Callithrix jacchus: one gene and its partners. The protein of the gene in region 4 purifies or fractionates together with the protein of the main gene of each other region. This does not show direct contact. Links are inferred from orthologs where the notes say so. Each region holds a gene or a part of one and is shown on either strand. Other genes may lie near its edges.

What was found. The genes of interacting proteins can lie anywhere in the genome.
Region 1: the proteins of E2F1 (region 4) and TRRAP purify together in Homo sapiens (affinity purification with western blotting; 3 studies listed by BioGRID and IntAct, with this or other methods). This does not show direct contact. The link is inferred for Callithrix jacchus from reciprocal best matches to the Homo sapiens genes E2F1 and TRRAP.
Region 2: the proteins of E2F1 (region 4) and RBL2 purify together in Homo sapiens (affinity purification with western blotting; 3 studies listed by BioGRID and IntAct, with this or other methods). This does not show direct contact. The link is inferred for Callithrix jacchus from reciprocal best matches to the Homo sapiens genes E2F1 and RBL2.
Region 3: the proteins of E2F1 (region 4) and KAT2B purify together in Homo sapiens (affinity purification with western blotting; 5 studies listed by BioGRID and IntAct, with this or other methods). This does not show direct contact. The link is inferred for Callithrix jacchus from reciprocal best matches to the Homo sapiens genes E2F1 and KAT2B.

The regions. Positions count from the first base shown.
Region 1 is NC_133503.1:14,643,421-14,648,126, reverse strand, and holds part of TRRAP (transformation/transcription domain-associated protein), read left to right. Parts: intron 1-460; coding exon 461-589; intron 590-2,780; coding exon 2,781-3,047; intron 3,048-4,599; coding exon 4,600-4,706. UniProt on the Homo sapiens protein: Adapter protein, which is found in various multiprotein chromatin complexes with histone acetyltransferase activity (HAT), which gives a specific tag for epigenetic transcription activation.
Region 2 is NC_133521.1:11,390,026-11,394,731, forward strand, and holds part of RBL2 (retinoblastoma-like protein 2), read left to right. Parts: intron 1-3,533; coding exon 3,534-3,803; intron 3,804-3,997; coding exon 3,998-4,278; intron 4,279-4,362; coding exon 4,363-4,539; intron 4,540-4,706. UniProt on the Homo sapiens protein: Key regulator of entry into cell division. Directly involved in heterochromatin formation by maintaining overall chromatin structure and, in particular, that of constitutive heterochromatin by stabilizing histone methylation.
Region 3 is NC_133518.1:58,632,222-58,636,927, forward strand, and holds part of KAT2B (histone acetyltransferase KAT2B), read left to right. Parts: intron 1-1,384; coding exon 1,385-1,593; intron 1,594-2,585; coding exon 2,586-2,712; intron 2,713-4,706. UniProt on the Homo sapiens protein: Functions as a histone acetyltransferase (HAT) to promote transcriptional activation. Has significant histone acetyltransferase activity with core histones (H3 and H4), and also with nucleosome core particles.
Region 4 is NC_133506.1:5,619,988-5,624,693, reverse strand, and holds part of E2F1 (transcription factor E2F1), read right to left. Parts: intron 4,540-4,706; coding exon 4,449-4,539; intron 4,099-4,448; coding exon 3,879-4,098; intron 2,444-3,878; coding exon 2,291-2,443; intron 1,601-2,290; coding exon 1,486-1,600; intron 1,391-1,485; coding exon 1,159-1,390; intron 1,034-1,158; coding exon 786-1,033; 3' UTR 1-785. UniProt on the Homo sapiens protein: Transcription activator that binds DNA cooperatively with DP proteins through the E2 recognition site, 5'-TTTC[CG]CGC-3' found in the promoter region of a number of genes whose products are involved in cell cycle regulation or in DNA replication.

The sequences.
Region 1 (4,706 bases), on a different chromosome or scaffold from region 4:
TGTAATCCCAACTACTTGGGACCACGGCGGGAGGATTGCTTGAGCTCAGGAGTTAGAGGCTGCACTGAGCTGTAATCACGCCACTGCATTCCAGTGTGGTTGACACAATGAGACCCTGTCTCTTAAGGGAAAAAAAAAATTAGTAGGCTGGGCTGTAAGTGAGGAAATGCCATTGCTGAGGAATGTCAGGTCCATGCAGCAGTGACCCAGTGTTGAAGGATAGTTTGTGAATTTCCTTGTTTTTAGAAAATGGCTTGTTTGATTTGAGAAGAATAAACCAGGTTGACATCTCTTTTCTAGTTTTTAACCTACCTTTCTAGTTGCTCTTTGCATAGAAATCAAGGTTAGTAGTCACAGGCTGGTTGAGTTCTAACTCACTGGTGTGGTATGGCCACGACTGGCTGTTCTGTTTTTCTCCTTCTTCACTTTAATTTTTTTTTTTTTTTTTTTTTTTTTGTAGGTTCTGCAGCACATATTGAATCCTGCTTTCTTATACAGCTTTGAGAAGGGGGAAGGAGAGCAGCTATTGGGACCTCCCAATCCAGAAGGAGATAACCCAGAAAGCATCACCAGTGTGTTTATTACCAAGGTGGTATAACTACGCGCATGGGCGTGAGAAGTAACCGGTCAGATGAACGAATGTCTGTGTGTGTGTTGTTTGTTTTCTTAACGCATTTATTTTTCATGATTGTGTTAATTTATAGCAGACCATCACATTACAATTCTTAGTAGTGAGTTTTTGAAGGCAGCCTTACTTTGGAATGAATTAACCTCCCACATTAATAGATTCTAATCAGAAACGAAATGTATCTTGATGAAAGTTCATGTAGCAGTTATTTTGTGAAAACCCTTGTTGCCAGTCAGCAGAATTTCTGTGTTCTGTTTTCATCTCCAGTTTTGCGAAAGAATCTCCTAATAGCCAGTGAGCCTATGAGACTGTCTGCAGTTCCTGCTGCAACTCCTTCTTGCCAAGTTATGAAACCCTGTGGCAGCTGTAGTCTAGTCTGAAACAAGCTCAGGTTTTAACACCTCTGTACATTTTTACAATGGCTTTACAGTTTGTATTAGAGAGAGTTTTTTGAATTAAATGCCTGTGTTCTGTCATTGTCCCAATACTCACTATATTGATGCTCACCGTTAAAGGTAGTGTTTGCCTTGAGATTCTCGCATTGGGTGTGTGTTGGAATGCTTAGTGAATATTTTCCTCATTAGAAATACAGATGGCTGGTTTTCTTATCCATTTTGTCCTGGGGTCAAGGCAGAGGGGACTGTTGTTTCCATTGGCAGATTCCCGGACCTTAAATAGTGTTTGTCCTTTCAGACAGGCCGCCTTCCTGCAGTGTTGACATCCCACTCTGGGATCAGAGCCAGGCCAGGGGGTTGTTCTTGGTCCCCTTACTGTTATTTGCCTTATTCTGGGCAAGTGTAGGGAGATGGGGCCCAGAAGGACCCCTTCTCCTTTGTCGTCTTCTTCAGGTTGTGCCTCCTGGGTCACATACTGCTGCTAGGGGACTTTGAATGTCAGGATGAGGAGAAAACGAGCTGGCAGACTGGAGTCTGGGGATGCAGGTGTGGGGCTGCCAAGAAGCAGTACATCCAGGGAAGAGAGGACCTTGGGCGGGACTAAAAGGGACCTTGATGAAAACATGATTATCATGGAAGACGTCGGTCTTTCTGTTTTCAGTAGTATTAAGGCCTGGTAGACAGACAGTGGTTAGGATACTTGGTTGAATTGAATGATGCCACCATTATACTTGATTTAGTAGAGACGTGTAGAATATTCCTCAAAGAAGGTACATTTTTTCTTACGTCCATGAAACAATTAAATTATCTGTCAGATGCTTTCAAAACTGTAACAGTTTTTTGGAAGTTGACATTTTTCCAGGTCACATTTTCTAATCATGCAGCAGAAAAATAAGGAACAGACAAAAGTTGACCAGGAAAAAAAAAATCTCAACTACTTGGAAATTAAGAAACTCAGTCCTAAGTCACCTTGAATCAAAGTCTTCCTTTCCACCTCGCCTTCCTCCAGCCCTGTGTCCTGACTCTTAAGCCTCCCCTTTTTTAAATGTTGAAATGAATTTGGTGAATTTCTAATCGATATGTAAACCAAAAAGTCTCTGAGATGGATCTCAATCATTTTAGAAATTTATTTTGCCGAAGTTAAGGATGTGTCTGGGAGAGAGGTTTGTGTCCTACTTTAAAGATGGTTTTGAGGACTGCAGTATTTGAAGGGGAAAATTGGGCTGAAGGAGAAAGAGGGAGGGTGTGGTCATCCACACATTGCAAAAGAAGGGGAGCAGGTAGGGGAACAGGCAGTTCTGTGTTCGTCTCACGCTTAGGAAGTCAGAACTTTATGGAAGATATGGTGAACATGGAGCTGATACCTGTGGTGATCATTAACCTTTTATCTTTAGCTCTGCTTAGGAACAAAAGGAGAGCCAGTTTCTTGCATGACTCAACTTTCGGCTTAATTTTTTCCACTGGGCAGAGCAAATTGGGATCCTAAGGTTTTTTTCCTCCTTTCACATACATATGAAGGAAGATGGATAGGATGTTATTGATTACCTCATTGTAATATTTCATGTTACATACTCTGTGTGTGTGTGTGTGTGTGTGTGTGTGTGTGTGTGTGTATTTTTAAGGCTTAAACCTGTTGTATGACCCTCAGTGAGTGTATGTGTGTCTGTGTGTGTCTGTGTTTAAGCCTTGTTGTATGACCCTCAGTCAGTAACGCAGTTCACAGCTGGAAATGAGTCCTTCCCACTGTCCCCGTGCAGGTCCTGGACCCCGAGAAGCAGGCAGACATGCTGGACTCGCTGCGGATCTACCTGCTGCAGTACGCCACCCTGCTGGTGGAGCACGCCCCGCACCACATCCACGACAATAACAAGAACCGCAATAGCAAGCTTCGCCGCCTCATGACCTTCGCCTGGCCCTGCCTACTCTCCAAGGCCTGTGTGGACCCGGCCTGCAAGTACAGCGGACACTTGCTCCTGGCACACATTATTGCCAAATTCGCCATCCACAAGAAGATCGTCCTGCAGGTATTTTGCAACTCCCCTCCTGTCCTCCATGTGGATCCCATGCTGTGCGCTTGACTCCCTGGCGCAGTGTCAGCCTCCCTGCTGTCTTTTCCCGATATCAGTAAAAACCACGAAAACACAGACACTATATGATTGATTCCACTTAGAAGACCCTAGGGCACTTAAATTCAGAGAGACAAAAAGAGACTGCGGCGGGGCCGGGCCAGGAAGAGGGGGTGGGGAACGCATGCTGACTGGGTGCAGAGTTTCAGCCTGGGAAGAAGCATGCGTTCTGCAGGTGATGGGGCTCGTGGCTGCACCCCCCATGAAGGTGCCTGGCGCCACTGGGCTGTGCACCCACAAATGGGGATGATGGTATATTCTGTGTTTTGTGTGTTTTACTACAATAACAGGAAATTTGAGGGGAAAATAACCCACACTGTGACTATCCATGCTCTCCCTTCCTCATTCCGACTCTGCTCTCTCATTCCTCGATGGCTTTGCTTTTTAAAGGAAATGCCACCTTTTCCATCTCACGCTTCTCTGGCAATTGCATTCTGGCCTCTGACCCTGACATTCCATGGCACAAATTATAAATATTCAAGGGCCTCAGCCCAGTTCTCTTTGCTAAAGACAGTAGGTACTTTTGGATCTGTATCTCATGGGCCTGCTGCTGTGCAGCTGGTATTAAGCGTCTCTTCATGGTGTCGCTTGGTGGTTTGGGCTCTGAGGTTGGGCACCGCGGGTTTGAGTGTTCTTTCCTCTGCTCACACGGTCTGTGCCCTTGGGCAAGTTAATGTCTCTGTGTGAGAATTAAATGTAGTATTACACTCGAGTGCTCAGCATTTGATCACTGATAGCTCCTGTCTTCTGTGAGACCATCTTTGATGGGCTTTCCCCTGATGTGTTTCTCCTGTGAACCTTTGTGGTGTTGAACTCTGGACCCCGATCAAGCCAGGAGCCTCTCACATCCCTCCCATGGCCCCTTGAGCTAGAACTCCAGCCTCGGGACTTCACTGCTCCCCCCCAGTTTCAAACACCCAGGGACTTTTGACCTTCTCTCCTCCTCCCCAGGGCCCACGCACCAGGAGGTTCTGCAGCTTCTAACACCCACCCTGTTCCACCCCAGGACTGTCTTTCTGTGTTCTGTGACCTCACCTCACTTGAACGACTGCAACTGCCATTTTGCAGCACCTCTCCTGCTAGCCCTGTTCACTTTATTTCCCACCCGAAGCTAGAGGGAGATGAGCCATATTCCTCCCTAACTCTGCTGGTTAGACGGGACACAGGATCCCTGCAGAGAGCTGGGTCTTATCTGTCTGCATGCCCCAGCCTAGTTCAGCACGGGCACATAGCAGGTGCTTTGTAAATACTAGAATGGATGTATTCATTGGTCAAAACTAAACAAAACAGAAAGCAACTAAGTTGTTTCCTAATTAGAAAGTCCTAAGAAATGTTTTAAAAAATTGTTTTGGAAAAATACCATGCCTTGATCCCAATGGATTGTTTGTGTTTTCCTGTTTTTTAAAGCCTTCCTTCTCCTCTTCCATTAAGTGTCTCTTCCCTCTTTTAGGTCTTCCATAGTCTCCTCAAGGCTCATGCAATGGAAGCTCGAGCAATCGTCAGACAGGCGATGGCCATTCTGACCCCGGCAGTGCCGGCCAGGATGGAGGACGGGCA
Region 2 (4,706 bases), on a different chromosome or scaffold from region 4:
AAATACTAGGGGAATATTTTGGGGCCTACTATCTGGAAATTTAAATTTCATCTAATCCTAGAAGTGAAGTTAGTAGGCAATATATAGAAGAAAATATTCCATGTATTTTTGTGCCACATGGATCACTTAAAAGAAGTGCCTCTCAGGAGAATTGCCTGATCCCAGGAGGCAGAGGTTGCAGTGAGCCGAGATCGCGCCATTGCACTCCATCCTGGGTAACAAGAGCGAAACTCCATCTCAAAAGAAAAAAAAAAGAAGTGCCTTTAAAGATTAAGAATACAGGAAAATGAAAATGAAAAAAAAAAAAAAATACAGGAAAATGAATCTTAACAGGCATCTTTTAAAAAGGATAGACTGCTATATTTATTTATTTATTTAATTTTAATTTTTAAAATTTTTTCAAGCAGGGTCTCACTCTGTGGCCCAGGCTGGAGTGTAGTAGCGCAGTCTCACTCACTGCAACCTCCACCTGCCGGGTTCAAGTGATTCTCGTGCCTCAGCCTCCCAAGTAGCTGGGACTACAGGCACATGCCAGCACGCCTGGCTAATTTTTATATATTTAGTAGAGAAGGGGTTTTGCCGTGTTGGCCAGACTGGCCTCAACCTCCTCACCTCAGGTGATCTGCCTGCCTTGGCCTCCCAAAGTGCTAGGAGTCACCATAGCCAGCCGACTGCTGTGTATGTATTTTTTAAAGCGTATGTTTATCGATGAGCATACAAAATGGTGGAAATGGAAAAACCAAACTGTTAAGATTATTGTTGGTTGATAGAATTCCTGGTGATTCTGTAAAATTTTTACGGCAAATACATATTACAGGAGAAATAGAAATGCCTTCTTAAAGACAGAGCTACATGATCCAGTTAGGTACAGACAAACCCGTGAGTTAAGACTACTGAGTATGTTCCACTTGGTCTGTTGAGATGTGCTACCCTAGTTAATGTGACACTAGTGCTGGTCCAAGAAATACAGAAAAGGGCAGTTTTGCTGTGCATCTGGTTTATACTTTTTAGGCAGCTGCTTGGAAGATCTGCAATATGAAAGGTTGAAGTTTAAATAGAACTACCTTTTAAAGAGCAATTCAGTAAATCCAGAGAGTTCTAAATCCTTGGATGCAATTAAAAGAATATTCTTATTTCTAGATCAGTTTTATAATGTAATTGATAAGAGCTGGCTGTAGAAGAAATACCAGTTTTAATGTCAGGAATCGGCCAGGTGCCGTGGCTTATGCCTGTAATCCCAGCACTTTGAGAGGCCAAGGCAGGTGGATCACCTGAAGTCAGGAGTTTGAGACCAGCTTGGCCGACAAGGTGAAACCTCGTCTCTACTAAAAATAAAAAAAAAAATTAGCCAGGCATGGTGGCGGGCATGTGTAATCCCAGCTACTTGGGAGGCTGAGGCAGGAGAATAGCTTGAACCTCGGAGGTGGAGGTTGTGGTGAGCTTGAATCAGGCCACTGCGCTTGAGCCTGGGCGACAGAGTGAGACTCTGTCTCTAAATAAATAAAGTCAGGAATCACTCTAGGATGGGCATGGTAGCTCATGCCTGTAACCCGAGCACTGTGGGAGACCTAGTAGGGAGGATCGCTTGAACCCACGAGTTCAAGACCATTCTGGGCAACATATCAAGATGCTATCTGTACAAAAAAAAATCACTCTAAGTCAGTGTATACTTAATACACATGGATGATCCATATGAAAAGTCCTCATTTTTGAAAGATCTGACAGCTGGTCTTTCTCAGTCTATTTTTGTAGAATTTTCCCTTCCCTTATTTACAGATTAAGAGGACTTAACTTTAAACTTCATTTTCTTTGCACTTATCACTTCTCAGTTTTCCTGAGATCTCTTGATATTTTATACAAAAATGATAATGTATTCTTTCTGATTCTGCAGCTTTGTACCAAATACAAATCTAGTAACTTGACTTACTTTTGTGTCATCTGGAAATAGAAATGTTAAGCTGCAGTTTATTAGGATTTACTCCTATCAATACCTCTTACGAACTTCCTACATATATTTTAAAATTTAAAAACAACTGATACACAGCTTTTAGAGGTGGACACAGAAGAAGGAAGGAATGCTTCTCAAAAATTCAGACATTGGTGTGAATACTTAAAAACAGACTAAGCCATAATGGGCTGTTCAGGTAATGAAGTTTTACAAATAGTGGTGACTGTTCTGCCATATTGTAAATGTGATTGATACCACTGAATCGTACACATAAAAATTGGTTAAAATGGTAAATTATATATATATATTTTACCACAGTGTTAAAAAACTAGCCTGTAATACCAGCACTTTGGGAGGCCAAGGTGGGCAGATCACCTGAGGTCAGGAGTTTGAGACCAGCCTGGCCAACATGGTGAAACCCCATCTCTACTAAAAATACAAAAGTTAGGCCGGGCGCGGTGGCTCAAGCCTGTAATCCCAGCACTTTGGGAGGCCGAGGCGGGTGGATCACGAGTTCAAGAGATTGAGACCATCCTGGTCAACGTGGTGAAACCCCGTCTCTACTAAAAATACAAAAAATTAGCTGGGCATAGTGGCTCGTGCCTGTAATCCCAGCTACTCTCCAGGAGGCTGAGGCAGGAGAATTACCTGAACCCAGGAGGCGGAGGTTACGGTGAGCCAAGATCGCGCCATTGCACTCCAGCCTGGGTAACAAGAGCGAAACTCTGTCTCAAAAAAAAGTTAGCCATGCATGGTGGCATACACCTGTAATCTCAGTCATTCAGGAGGCCGAGGCACATGAATCACTTGAACCCAGGAGGCAGAGGTTGTAGTGAGCCGAGGTCATACCACTACACTCTAGCCTGGGCGACAGAGTAAGACTCTATGTCTCAAAAAATAAAAATAAAAATGATTTACCTCAAACCATTGAATTGTACAATTTAAGTGGATAAAATTTATGATATATAAACTGTTTAAAAAAATAAACTATGCTTAATTGAATCCAAATCATGCACGTCCACCTTGTTTATAAAAAACTGATTAAAAAATAAACTATGCCTAATTGAATCCAAGTCATAAGTCATGCATGTCCACCTTAAGTATATTGAGTTTTAATAATATTTTATATGTGGAAAAAGACAAAGATAAAAATTGGTAAAACTGGTGGGGGAATGCTCCTAGATGACATACTACCAATCGTGTCAAGTAGTGGCTCTGTAGTAAAGTCATATCTATTACAGAAAAATGTCATACAGAGAAATAGGGTAATGAATGCCTTAAATTGCCCCTAAATCATGAAGGTTCTGTAGTAGTGGAAGACAGAGTCGAGTCTGATTAGGGAAAGGGGGATTGGAGAAAGGAACACTACAAGACAAAAAATTCCATTTTAAAATTTTGCTCTTGAAAATTCACTAATTTTCATTAGTGGAATGGAGGTAAGATATGACTTCTGTAATTCTTGTTTGCTTTTTGATTTATGAAAACATAATTTCAAACACTGTAGTAATTTTTGAACCTGACAACTTGGATGGAAGTCAGATCTGAGTCTCCTTGAGTTAAATACTTTGATTTGTTTTGACCCTAGGTGTAACATCTCCAACCACATTATATGATAGGTACAGCTCACCACCAGCCAGCACTACCAGAAGGCGGCTATTTGTTGAGAATGATAGCCCTTCTGATGGAGGGACACCTGGGCGCATGCCCCAACAGCCAATAGTCAATGCTGTCCCTGTGCAGAATGTATCTGGGGAGCCTGTTTCTGTCACACCAGTTCCTGGACAAACTTTGGTCACCATGGCGACTGCCACTGTCACTGCCAACAATGGGCAAACAGTAACCATTCCTGTGCAAGGTAAGGAAGGCAGAGCTGGATATTGAGTTCCTTCTCTGTGGCATGTATTGAAAAGTTACCCAAGGTTTGGCTAGAGTGACGCAGGGGACAGAGGAGTGATGGGGGGCGGGGTTAAGAGAGGGGAAATTGTAAACCTTTGCCTGGAGAACCCCTTATTAACATTTTCTTCAAGCTTTTTTTCTGTCACAAACTAGGTATTGCCAATGAAAATGGAGGGATAACATTCTACCCAGTCCAAGTCAATGTTGGGGGGCAGGCACAAGCTGTGACAGGCTCCATCCAGCCCCTCAGTGCTCAGGCCCTGGCTGGAAGTCTGAGCTCTCAACAAGTGACAGGAACAACTTTACAAGTCCCTGGTCAAGTGGCCATTCAACAGATTTCCCCAGGTGGCCAACAGCAGAAGCAAGGCCAGTCCGTAAGCAGCAGCAGTAATAGACCCAGGAAAACCAGCTCATTATCGCTTTTCTTTAGAAAGGTAATTTTTCACGTAACCTTACCAGAAGCATGAGCTTGGGAAATATAAGTGTTAAAGTTTGAAATGTTTTTGTTTCTCTCCTAGGTATACCATTTAGCAGGTGTACGCCTTCGGGATCTCTGTGCCAAACTAGATATTTCAGATGAACTGAGGAAAAAAATCTGGACCTGCTTTGAATTCTCCATAATTCAGTGTCCTGAACTTATGATGGACCGACATCTGGACCAGTTATTAATGTGTGCCATTTATGTGATGGCAAAAGTGAGTTTGCCATTTGGAACTGCAAAGGCAGTTCATTACCGAGAACATTTTTTAATCACTTTATTGAGATACAGTTTATATGCTATATAATTCATCTATTTAAAATGCAGTGAAATGGGTCTTAGTATATTCACAGACATGTGCAATACTCACAATTTTAGAACATA
Region 3 (4,706 bases), on a different chromosome or scaffold from region 4:
GAAGATCCAACAGTTCCCACTATGCATCACCTCCAACACTGGAGATTACATTTCAACATGAGATTTGGAGAAGGCACACATTCAAACCGCATCAGGATGCAGTCACACATTTCAAAATATTTTAGATATATTAATATTTACTAGTGTACTGGAGCTGGCTTGTACTGGAATGCACAAGAAAATTGTTAAGTATTCAGAAATTTTGTGAGCTGGTTGCTCCATATGTTGGTAGCTTGAAATTGACCACAGTAGCACCTGGTTACCTGGATAGCCAGTTCTGGAGTAATGAGATGAAGTGCCGCCAGTTAGGGCTTTCCTTCCCTTAAGAGCTGTTTGTGGAGCATTTACTTGCAAACCACTGGGTAGATTAAATAAGAGGGGGAGTACAAAGTGCTGGCACATGGCTGTGCTTCTAGCCATGGTTGAGTGTAGGTTAGTAGATATTCTCTGGAAAGAAAACTGTTCTTTAAAAAGAGGTGTAAAGAATATATATATGAGGCTGGGCGCAGTGGCTCACGCCTATAATCCTAGCACTTGGGGAGGCCGAGGCAGGTGGATCACAAGGTCAAGAGATGGAGACCATCCTGGTCAACATGGTGAAACCCCGTCTCTACTAAAAATACAAAAATTAGCTGGACATGGTGGTGCATGCCTGTAATCCCAGCTACTCAGCAGGCTGAGGCAGGAGAATTGCCTCAACCCAGGAGGCGGAGGTTGCGGTGAGCCAAGATCGTGCCATTGCACTCCAGCCTGGGTAAACAAGAGCGAAACTCCGCCTCAAAAAAAAAATCAATAAATAAAAAATAATATATACATGAGAGCTACTATTGGGCCTGTAATGAGAATTTGGATCTCTCATCCCAAAGGTCCTTCAAGCACAGCTGGAGAGGATTCCTTTAAGCCAGAGGTTGGCAAACTTTAACCCACGGGCCACACTTTGCCTGCTTACTGTTTTTTAAAATAATGTTTTATCAGAACAGTACTACACCCATTCTTTAGCATGTTGTCTGTGGATGCCTTTGCATTGTAGCAGCAGAAGGAGTAGTTGTGGCAAAGACCTTGTGGCTCACAACGTCTAAAATATTTTCTCTCTGGCCCTTCACAGCAAAGTTTGCTGGCCCCTAATCTATACTGAATGTCATCCATGTACACATGTCATACTCCAGTTTCTCAAAATGCTTTACCTGCCTTTTCTATCTTGTCTTTATAACTTGTACGTGTATGTGTCTCTGTGTATATGTGTGTGCACACGTGTGTATGTAGGACTCTGAGAATCCACAAATGTGTATCTTATTAGAACAAAGAAGAGAAGCTTGGATGTGTCCCATCCCCACGGTCTTGAGAGAATCCTCTGTGTAATTTTTTCCTGTCTCTTGCATCTCAGACCAATTTTCTGTCAGCACATTCAGCCAGGGATGAGGCGGCCAGGTTGGAAGAACGCAGGGGTGTAATTGAATTCCACGTAGTTGGCAATTCCCTCAACCAGAAACCAAACAAGAAGATCCTGATGTGGCTGGTCGGACTTCAGAACGTTTTCTCCCACCAGCTGCCCCGAATGCCAAAAGAATACATCACACGGCTTGTCTTTGACCCGTAAGTGGTACTTTCTGTGCCTTCTTCCTCATTTCCTTTTTAAATGAAAGAGGAACTGCTTAGATAGTGAAAGTCAGCCATAGTCATCCACCGAATACTGCTGCTCCTGTCTCGCTGTGGATACAGAACTACACCAGGCTAATTTTTATGTCTGAAAGTGCTAAGATTAATTTTCAGCAATTTATAAATTTTCTTGTTAATAATAAGCGTTATATTCCATCGCTGATGACTGTCCTGTGCTTCATTCTTTATAGCAGTGAGAGGTCGTAAACACTAAGATGTTCTACTTTTTTTCATAGTCAAAATATTGGTTTTGGTATCTTAACTAGGTACCATTATTGCCCAGGTCTGTGGGCAATTATTGGGATATAAGACAGGTTAACTTTGAAAATCCATTGCTTAAAAAAGAAAAATCCACAAAACCCCAAAGAACTAAATGTCATTAATTGAATTTATTTGAACATATATAGCCCAGTAGCCTATGGGGACTGTTATCTATGCCTGTGACAATTCAGAGTAATGCTTTAGACAGAGGGAAGGATTCCATACTGCAGAGTTTTGCAGATTGTATATGTAGATTTTTAACTTTTTTCATAATGTTTCTGTGATATATTGGAGTAAGACTTAACTCTGCAGAGACACATACCATGTTTGTCCATGACTTCCTGCTCCCTGACCCCTCCTTGGCACTGGATGTGCCAGTTCCAGAGCACATCTGCACATACTCTGTTCTCTATTTGTAAACCCCAGGCACTTCTTAGGTGACTGATATTTTGTTCTGATGGGAGTACCGATGACATCTTGTGCAGGCAAGCTTGCTTTAAAAAGTTCAGATAAAAGAATGGTCTAGCAAGATAGGGTCTACATGAAGGAAATTTTTATAGAAACTTAGGACATATAGCTCTTTCTTAGTTGGTTAATAAGGAATACCCCAAAAAGTATATTTATATAACTAGGATAGGTAAAACTTTGACATAATCTTATTCTTTCAGGAAACACAAAACCCTTGCTTTAATTAAAGATGGCCGTGTCATTGGTGGTATCTGTTTCCGTATGTTTCCATCTCAAGGATTCACAGAGATTGTCTTCTGTGCTGTAACCTCAAATGAGCAAGTCAAGGTAAGGGTAACCCAAGGTCTTAGAAGAAAAGCAGGATGTGGGGCTTCTTACTAAGGCTGCAGGGCTTGGGAAGATCTTTCTGTGCCATGTCCAGAGAAGGTTGAAAGTGGAGTTAAGGACTTTCTGGGAATAGTCCTCTCACTCCAGCCATCTCCAGCCTTTTCGGTACCAGGGACTGGTTTCGCAGAAGACAGTTTTTCCACAGGCTGTTTTGGGATGAAACTTCTTCACCTCCGATTATCAGGCATTAGTTAGATTCTCATAAGGACCATGCAACCCAGATCCCTAGCATGTGCAGTTCATAATAGGGTTCATGCTCCAAGGAGAGTCTAGTGCCACCACTGGTCTGACAGGAGGCAGAGCCCAGGCAGTAATGCTCACTTGCCTGCTGTTCACCTCTTGCTGTGTGGCCTGTTCCCTAACAGGCCATGGACTGGTAATGGTCTAGGGGTTGGGGACCTCTGTCTCACTCTGAGTGTTTGTGTATATGTGTGAGGAGAATAAATGGTTTCACCTACCAACAAGTAGGGTTGTACCAAGGCTTTGTTGGACTTTGTGGCAAGGTATCAGGATACTGTACAAGTTCAATATGTAACTCAAGTGTAGTCTCTAGCAAATGAAGGGATATTTGAAAATAAATCTCGGTGTTCATTGTTAAATTTACACACACACACAAACATGTACACACAATTAGTGACACTGAACTACTGGAAAGGGTATGGTTAATGTGGATTAGAAAGGTGATTTAGGCAGCGTACATTTCAGAAAGATTTCTTATGACCTTGTCCCTCAAGGAAGACAAGGACTAAAGAAATTCGATAAGGGAAACCATGTAGATTTATGAATAAATTTCAGTAGCTATTCCTGTAGGGTTTGGCATGTGTTGGAGTGTCTTTTTGTTTTGTTTTTGTTCTAATTTACCTTCCCCATTGTCTTTGGCATAGGTGCCTTCCTTTCCGGGAACTGTGTCTGTGTTTTATTGGTATTGCAGTTGGTGTCGCAGTCTGGCAGGAATAAACCAGACTCTAAATTGACAGAAAGAGCTCGCGTCTAGACTTTGTCCTATTCTACTTTCTTGCTTTTAAGAAAAGAGAACCAGAGAACATGGCCCTAGAATGTTATTCATTTAGGGCTGAGCACAGTGGCTCACACCTGTAATCTCAGCACTTTGGGAGGCCAAGGCAGGTGGATCTCCTGAAGTCAAGAGTTTGAGACCTGTCTGACTAACATGGTGAAACCCCATCTCTACTAAAAATACAAAATTAGCTGGGTGTGTTGGCACATGTCTATGATCCCAGCTGCTTGGGAGGCTGAGGCAGGAAAATCACTTGAACCCAGAAGGCAGAGGTTGCAAGATCGTGCCACTGCACTCCACTCTGGGAAATAAGAGCGAAACTCCATCTGAAAAAAAAAAAAAAGAATGTTATTCATTTAGGATTTCATGGGCGGACTAAAGATTAGCAGCTCAGGATAAAGATGGATGCTGAGAAAAATTAGTGGAAGGTCTAAAGCAATGTGTCCAATAGAAATATAAGGCAACTTGCAAATAAGAGGTTATAAAAGCACATATATATGTGCTTTTAAATTTTCTAGTGGTTATTTTTTTTAAAAAAGCAAGTGGAATCCAGTGAGATTATTTTGGAATTTTTTTCTTTTTTTTTTTTTTTGAGACAGAGTCTCGCTCTGTTGACAGGTGCCAGGCTGGAGTGCAGTGGCTCAATCTTGGCTCACTGCAACCTCTGCCTCTTGGGTTCAAGCAATTCTGCTGCCTCAGCCTCCTGAGTAGCTGGGACTACAGGCCTGTGCCACCACGCCTAGCTAATTTTTGTATTTTTTAGTAGAGATGGGATTTCACCATGTTGGCCAGGATGATCTTGATCTCTTGACCTCGTGATCCGCCCGTCTTGGCCTCCCAAAGTGCTGGGATTATAGTGTGAGCCACTGTACCCGGCCTGTTTTATTTTACCCATATATATCCAAAGTGTATTATTAAT
Region 4 (4,706 bases):
CTGCCCCACCATCCGTCTACCCATGGCTGTCAGTCAGTCTGTCTCCCTCCCTCACTTTCCCAATAAATAAATCACCCAGGCCTCAGCTCCTTCAGTGTGGGGCAGAACAGCTCAGGGACCCCTGCCCTTGCTCAAGGGTAGAGGAAGTCGGGGTATCAACCCCACACCCCTCCTCCCCTATGCTGATTCCCCAGGCTCGCCAAAGAGGCCTCGATAAATAAATAACGCTCCATTAAAGCTTCAATCAGAAAAAACCTTTAAGACAGAAGTGCTCTCGCCGTCCTACAAGCCCAGCCAGCCAAAGCCTCCCCACCTGGCCTGGTCAGAGCGCCGGATTCTCGGAGCAGGCACTATGCTGGGCCTTGTGGGACCCCCAGAGCAAAAGGGCCGAAAGTGCAGTTAGAGCCCCCCACGCGCACACATGGACTCATGCACACACATGTGGACACACTGGGGCGTGTCTGCAGTGCACACACAGAGGTGTATATTCACCTTCATTCCCCGGTACATGCACACACACATGCTCACACACCACATTCACCCCAGGTACACACGTGTGGGTGTAGGCTGCATGCACATACACACCACAAACAGACTCCTTCCCTTCCTGGCTTGCTCAGCCTCCTAGCGGTAGCCAGACCCCAGAGCTAGAAGCTACTGGAGACAGGAGAGAGGGGTATAAATTAAATGTTTCCGATCAGGCTGGGAGGATGGCCAGGGACAGGAGGCTCCAGGGCTGCAGAGACAGTGAGCATCTCTGGAAACGCTGGTCCCTCCAAGCCCCATCAGAAATCGAGGGGGGTGAAGTCCCCAAAGTCACAGTCGAAGAGGTCTCTGATGCCCTCGCCCTCCTCGAGGCCGAAGTGGTAGTCGAGGCCCTCATGGGGTGGGGAAAGGCTGATGAACTCCTCAGGGAGGAGGCCGGAGAAGTCCTCCCGCACATGCTCCAGGAGCGAGTCGGCTGCCACCAGCGGGGACAGGCGGTCCTCGTCCATGGGAGCCCGTAGGCTGCCCATCCGGGACAACAGTGGTTCTGGGGAGACGGGGAGCATCACAGGCCGGGGATGCCCCAGCAGGGAGGAAGACAGGGGCTGTCGTGCCTGCCCGCCCCCCAGAAGAGTGGCCCTTTCCCACCCCACCCACCTACCCATCACCCACCTTGCTCCAGGCTGAGCAGAGACTGGCTGGGATCTGTGGCGAAGGATGAGTGGGGAGATGATGATGGTGGCGGCACTATGGTGGCAGAGTCAGAGGCCCTGTTCTCCTCCACAGAAGCAGCCTCCCGGGACGGGGACGGGGTCTTCCCAGGGCTGATCCCACCCACAGTCTCCTCAGGGCACAGGAAAACATCGATGGGGCCTTGTTTGCTCTTAAGAGAGATCTGAAATGTCTGGGTGGAAGCAGCAGGCAGGGTAAACTGAGGCCCAGGTGACCCCAAGCCCAGCCCAGCCCAGCCCAGTTGGGCCTAGAGTTTCCAGATCTCACCTCCGAAGAGTCCACAGCTTGGAGCTGGGTCTCAGGAGGAGCCTTGATCACCATAACCATCTGCTCTGCAGGGTCTGCAATGCTACGAAGATCCTGGCACGTCACATAGGCCAGGGTTGGCAGAGTCAAGGACCACAGGAACTTTGACTTCTGAGGGTCACTCACTCCAGCAACTCACAAAGGACCTTCACAAGGCAGGGCTCACACCTCCCTAGTCACTCCTGTCTTCTCAACCCCCCCATCTGCTCAAAAGCCACCTCATTCCCAAGTTTCAAGTTCCACATCTGTACAATGGAACTATTCTACCAACTGAATCCCAAAGTAATGATGATGGCTACCAGGAACAATTCCATGTAAAATGCTCAACACAACTGCAGGCCTGCTGCTGGGAACTTATTATTTAGTTTTTAGAAGCAGGTTCTCACTATGTCACCCAGGCTGGAGTGCTGTAGCTCAACCAGAGCTCACTGCAGCCTCAAACTCCTGGGCTCAAGTGATCCTCCCACCTCAGCCTCCTGAAGCACTAGGATTACAGGCAGGAGCCACCCCAGCCACTTTTCTGCTTTAATCTGTACAATTTCAGAATTGGATATTATTATCCCCCTTTTATAGCTAAAACTGAGGCCCAGAGAGGTTAAGCAATTTATCCAGTGTCACACAATGAGAAAATGCTGAGCCAGAACTTGCAACCAAAACCAGCATCCTCTCCGGAATCCAGGGCCCAGGGTAGCCTCTCTAGTCCCACTTGGGTGGGACCCCTGCGCACTAAGCCTGCCTTCCACACCCCCGGCCAGTCCAAGGATATCGCTGGCTGTCAGTGTCCTCGGAGAGCAGGCGCAGCTGCGTAGTACAGATATTCATCAGGTGGTCCAGCTGCTGCTCACTCTCCTGCAGCTGCCGGAGGTCCTGGGTCAGCCCCTCAAGCCGCCCACCAACACCCACTGTGGTGTGGCTGCCCCTGTGGGGAGGCACCAGGGAGGGTAGGGTTAGCATCGTCTGGCCCCTCTGGCGCTCAGGACCCCATCTGCTGCTGCCTCTGTTCTGCGAGGCCCAGGCAAGCCCTTGCTTCTCTCTGGGTCTGGCTCCTCAGCTGGGATCCAAATCAGTGTGTCATGGGCTTGAAGTCTGGCCCGAATATTTATAAACACCTACATGTCCCTCAACCAGGGCAGGATAAATAAATGATGGCATCGACATGTCATGAAACATTACAGTTGTATAAAAGGATGAGCATGCTCTAGACACATACATACAAGCATTTCCAAGTCATGCTGTCAAATTAAAAAAAAAAAAAAAATGGGCTGGGCTTGGTGGCTCACACATAATCCCAGCACTTTGGGAAGCTGAGGTCAGAGGATGTACTGCTTGAGCCTCAGGAGTTTAAACCAGCCTGGGCAATACTGTGAGACCCCACCTCTACACAAAATTAAAGAAATTAGCCAGGCATGGTGGCATGTACTTGTAGTCCTAGCTACAGGTACAAGGATTGAGCCCAGGAGGTTGAGGCTGCAGTGAGCTCTACTTGTGCCTCCAGACTCCAGTCTGGGTGACAGAGCAATACCCTGTCTCAAACTGCCCCCCACCCCCTCAAAAAAACATAAAAGATGTAGAATGGAACAATCTACCAAAAAATGAAAAGGCAGGTGTATCAAAGAGAGGGTAGCAGGATGACTAGGGCAAAGGCAAGAAGGGGAAAATAAAACAAGTACAAAAAGAAAACATCCGTGCCAGACAAATCTTACCGAGGGCATAAGACACCAGAAGAGTGGTCACCTGGTGGTGTGAGGGGTTGGCAGTGACTGGAAAGGGGCACAAGAGAACCTTCTGGGGTGTTGGAAATGCTTCTATCTTGATCTGAATGGTGGTAACCCAGATGAATAAATATGTAAAGCTCTGCTGGGCACAGTGGCTCACGCCTATAATCCCAGCACTCTGGGAGGCCAAGGCAGGCAGATTACCTCAGATCTGGAGTTTGAGACCAGCCTGGCCAACATGGTGAAACCCTGTCTCTACTAAAAATACAAAAATTAGCCGGGCGTAGTGGTAAGTGCCTATAACCCCAGCTACTTGGGAGGCTGAGGCAGAAGAATCACTTGAACCTGGGAAGTGGTGGTTGCAGTGAGCTGAGATGACGCCACTGCACTCCAGCCTGGGCGACAGAGTGAAACTCCATCTTAAAAAATTAAATAAATAAATAAAGCTGTAACTGAGCTGGATATGTAAGATTTGTGTGCTTTTTAGCATCTATCATCTCAGGGAAGCTACCTCTCTTCCCTGAGCCCGTTTCCCCAGCTGTAACATGTGGATGCAGACAGCCCACAGTGGGTACTGCTACAGTTCCTCCAGGCTGGCATGGGCAGGTGTGCCTGCCCTCCTGTGTGGCCGGTACCTACAGCCACTGGATGTGGTTCTTGGACTTCTTGGCAATGAGCTGGATGCCCTCGAGGACATTGGTGATGTCATAGATGCGCCGCTTCTGCACTTTGAGCACCTCGGCAGCCCAGTTCAGGTCGACAACACCGTCAGCAGAGCGGCTCAGCAGCTCCAGGAAGCGCTTGGTGGTCAGATTCAGTGAGGTCTCATAGCGTGACTTCTCCCCCGGGGATTTCACACCTGTAAGGGTGTGGTCAAGCAAGTAGGGCCCTCCAGCATCCACCCCACCTCCAGCCAGGCCTGCCTCTGTGGCAGTGCAGGACAGCAGGATGATGGGGGCCGGGGGACAGCCAGCCCCTTCCCCTTGGTGAGGTCAACCACAGCATTCTTATTCTGACTGGGGAACTCCTCAACCCTCAGGGCTGGGGTAAACCAAGCCAGGCAGCGACTCCAGCTGCCCATCAGGGTCCCCAGAGGCCTGGCTCAAGCCCAATGAACCAAGACGTTAGCCTGAAAGCATGTTTGTTTGTTCACACCCCCAACCCGGGCCTGGTCACAGGGGGCCTGCCCAGCCCAAGCTCCGTGGGTACCTTTTCCTTGATGGCGGCCTCTGCCCCGAGCTGGCCCACTGCTTTCAGCCAGGTACTGATGGTCAGTTTCCAGGTCCAGCCTCCGCTTCACCTGTAGTGAAAACAATGGGAGGATGCCCAGTAACCAGGAGTGATGCCAGAAGAGACCTGGCTGAGGGCTAGGCACCTCTGGGTTACCCCCACCTCAGTTTCTGTAGCAGGATGCCTGACTGTGTGACTGAGGGAGATCAGAGGGGACACAGCCTGAGAGTCATAGTC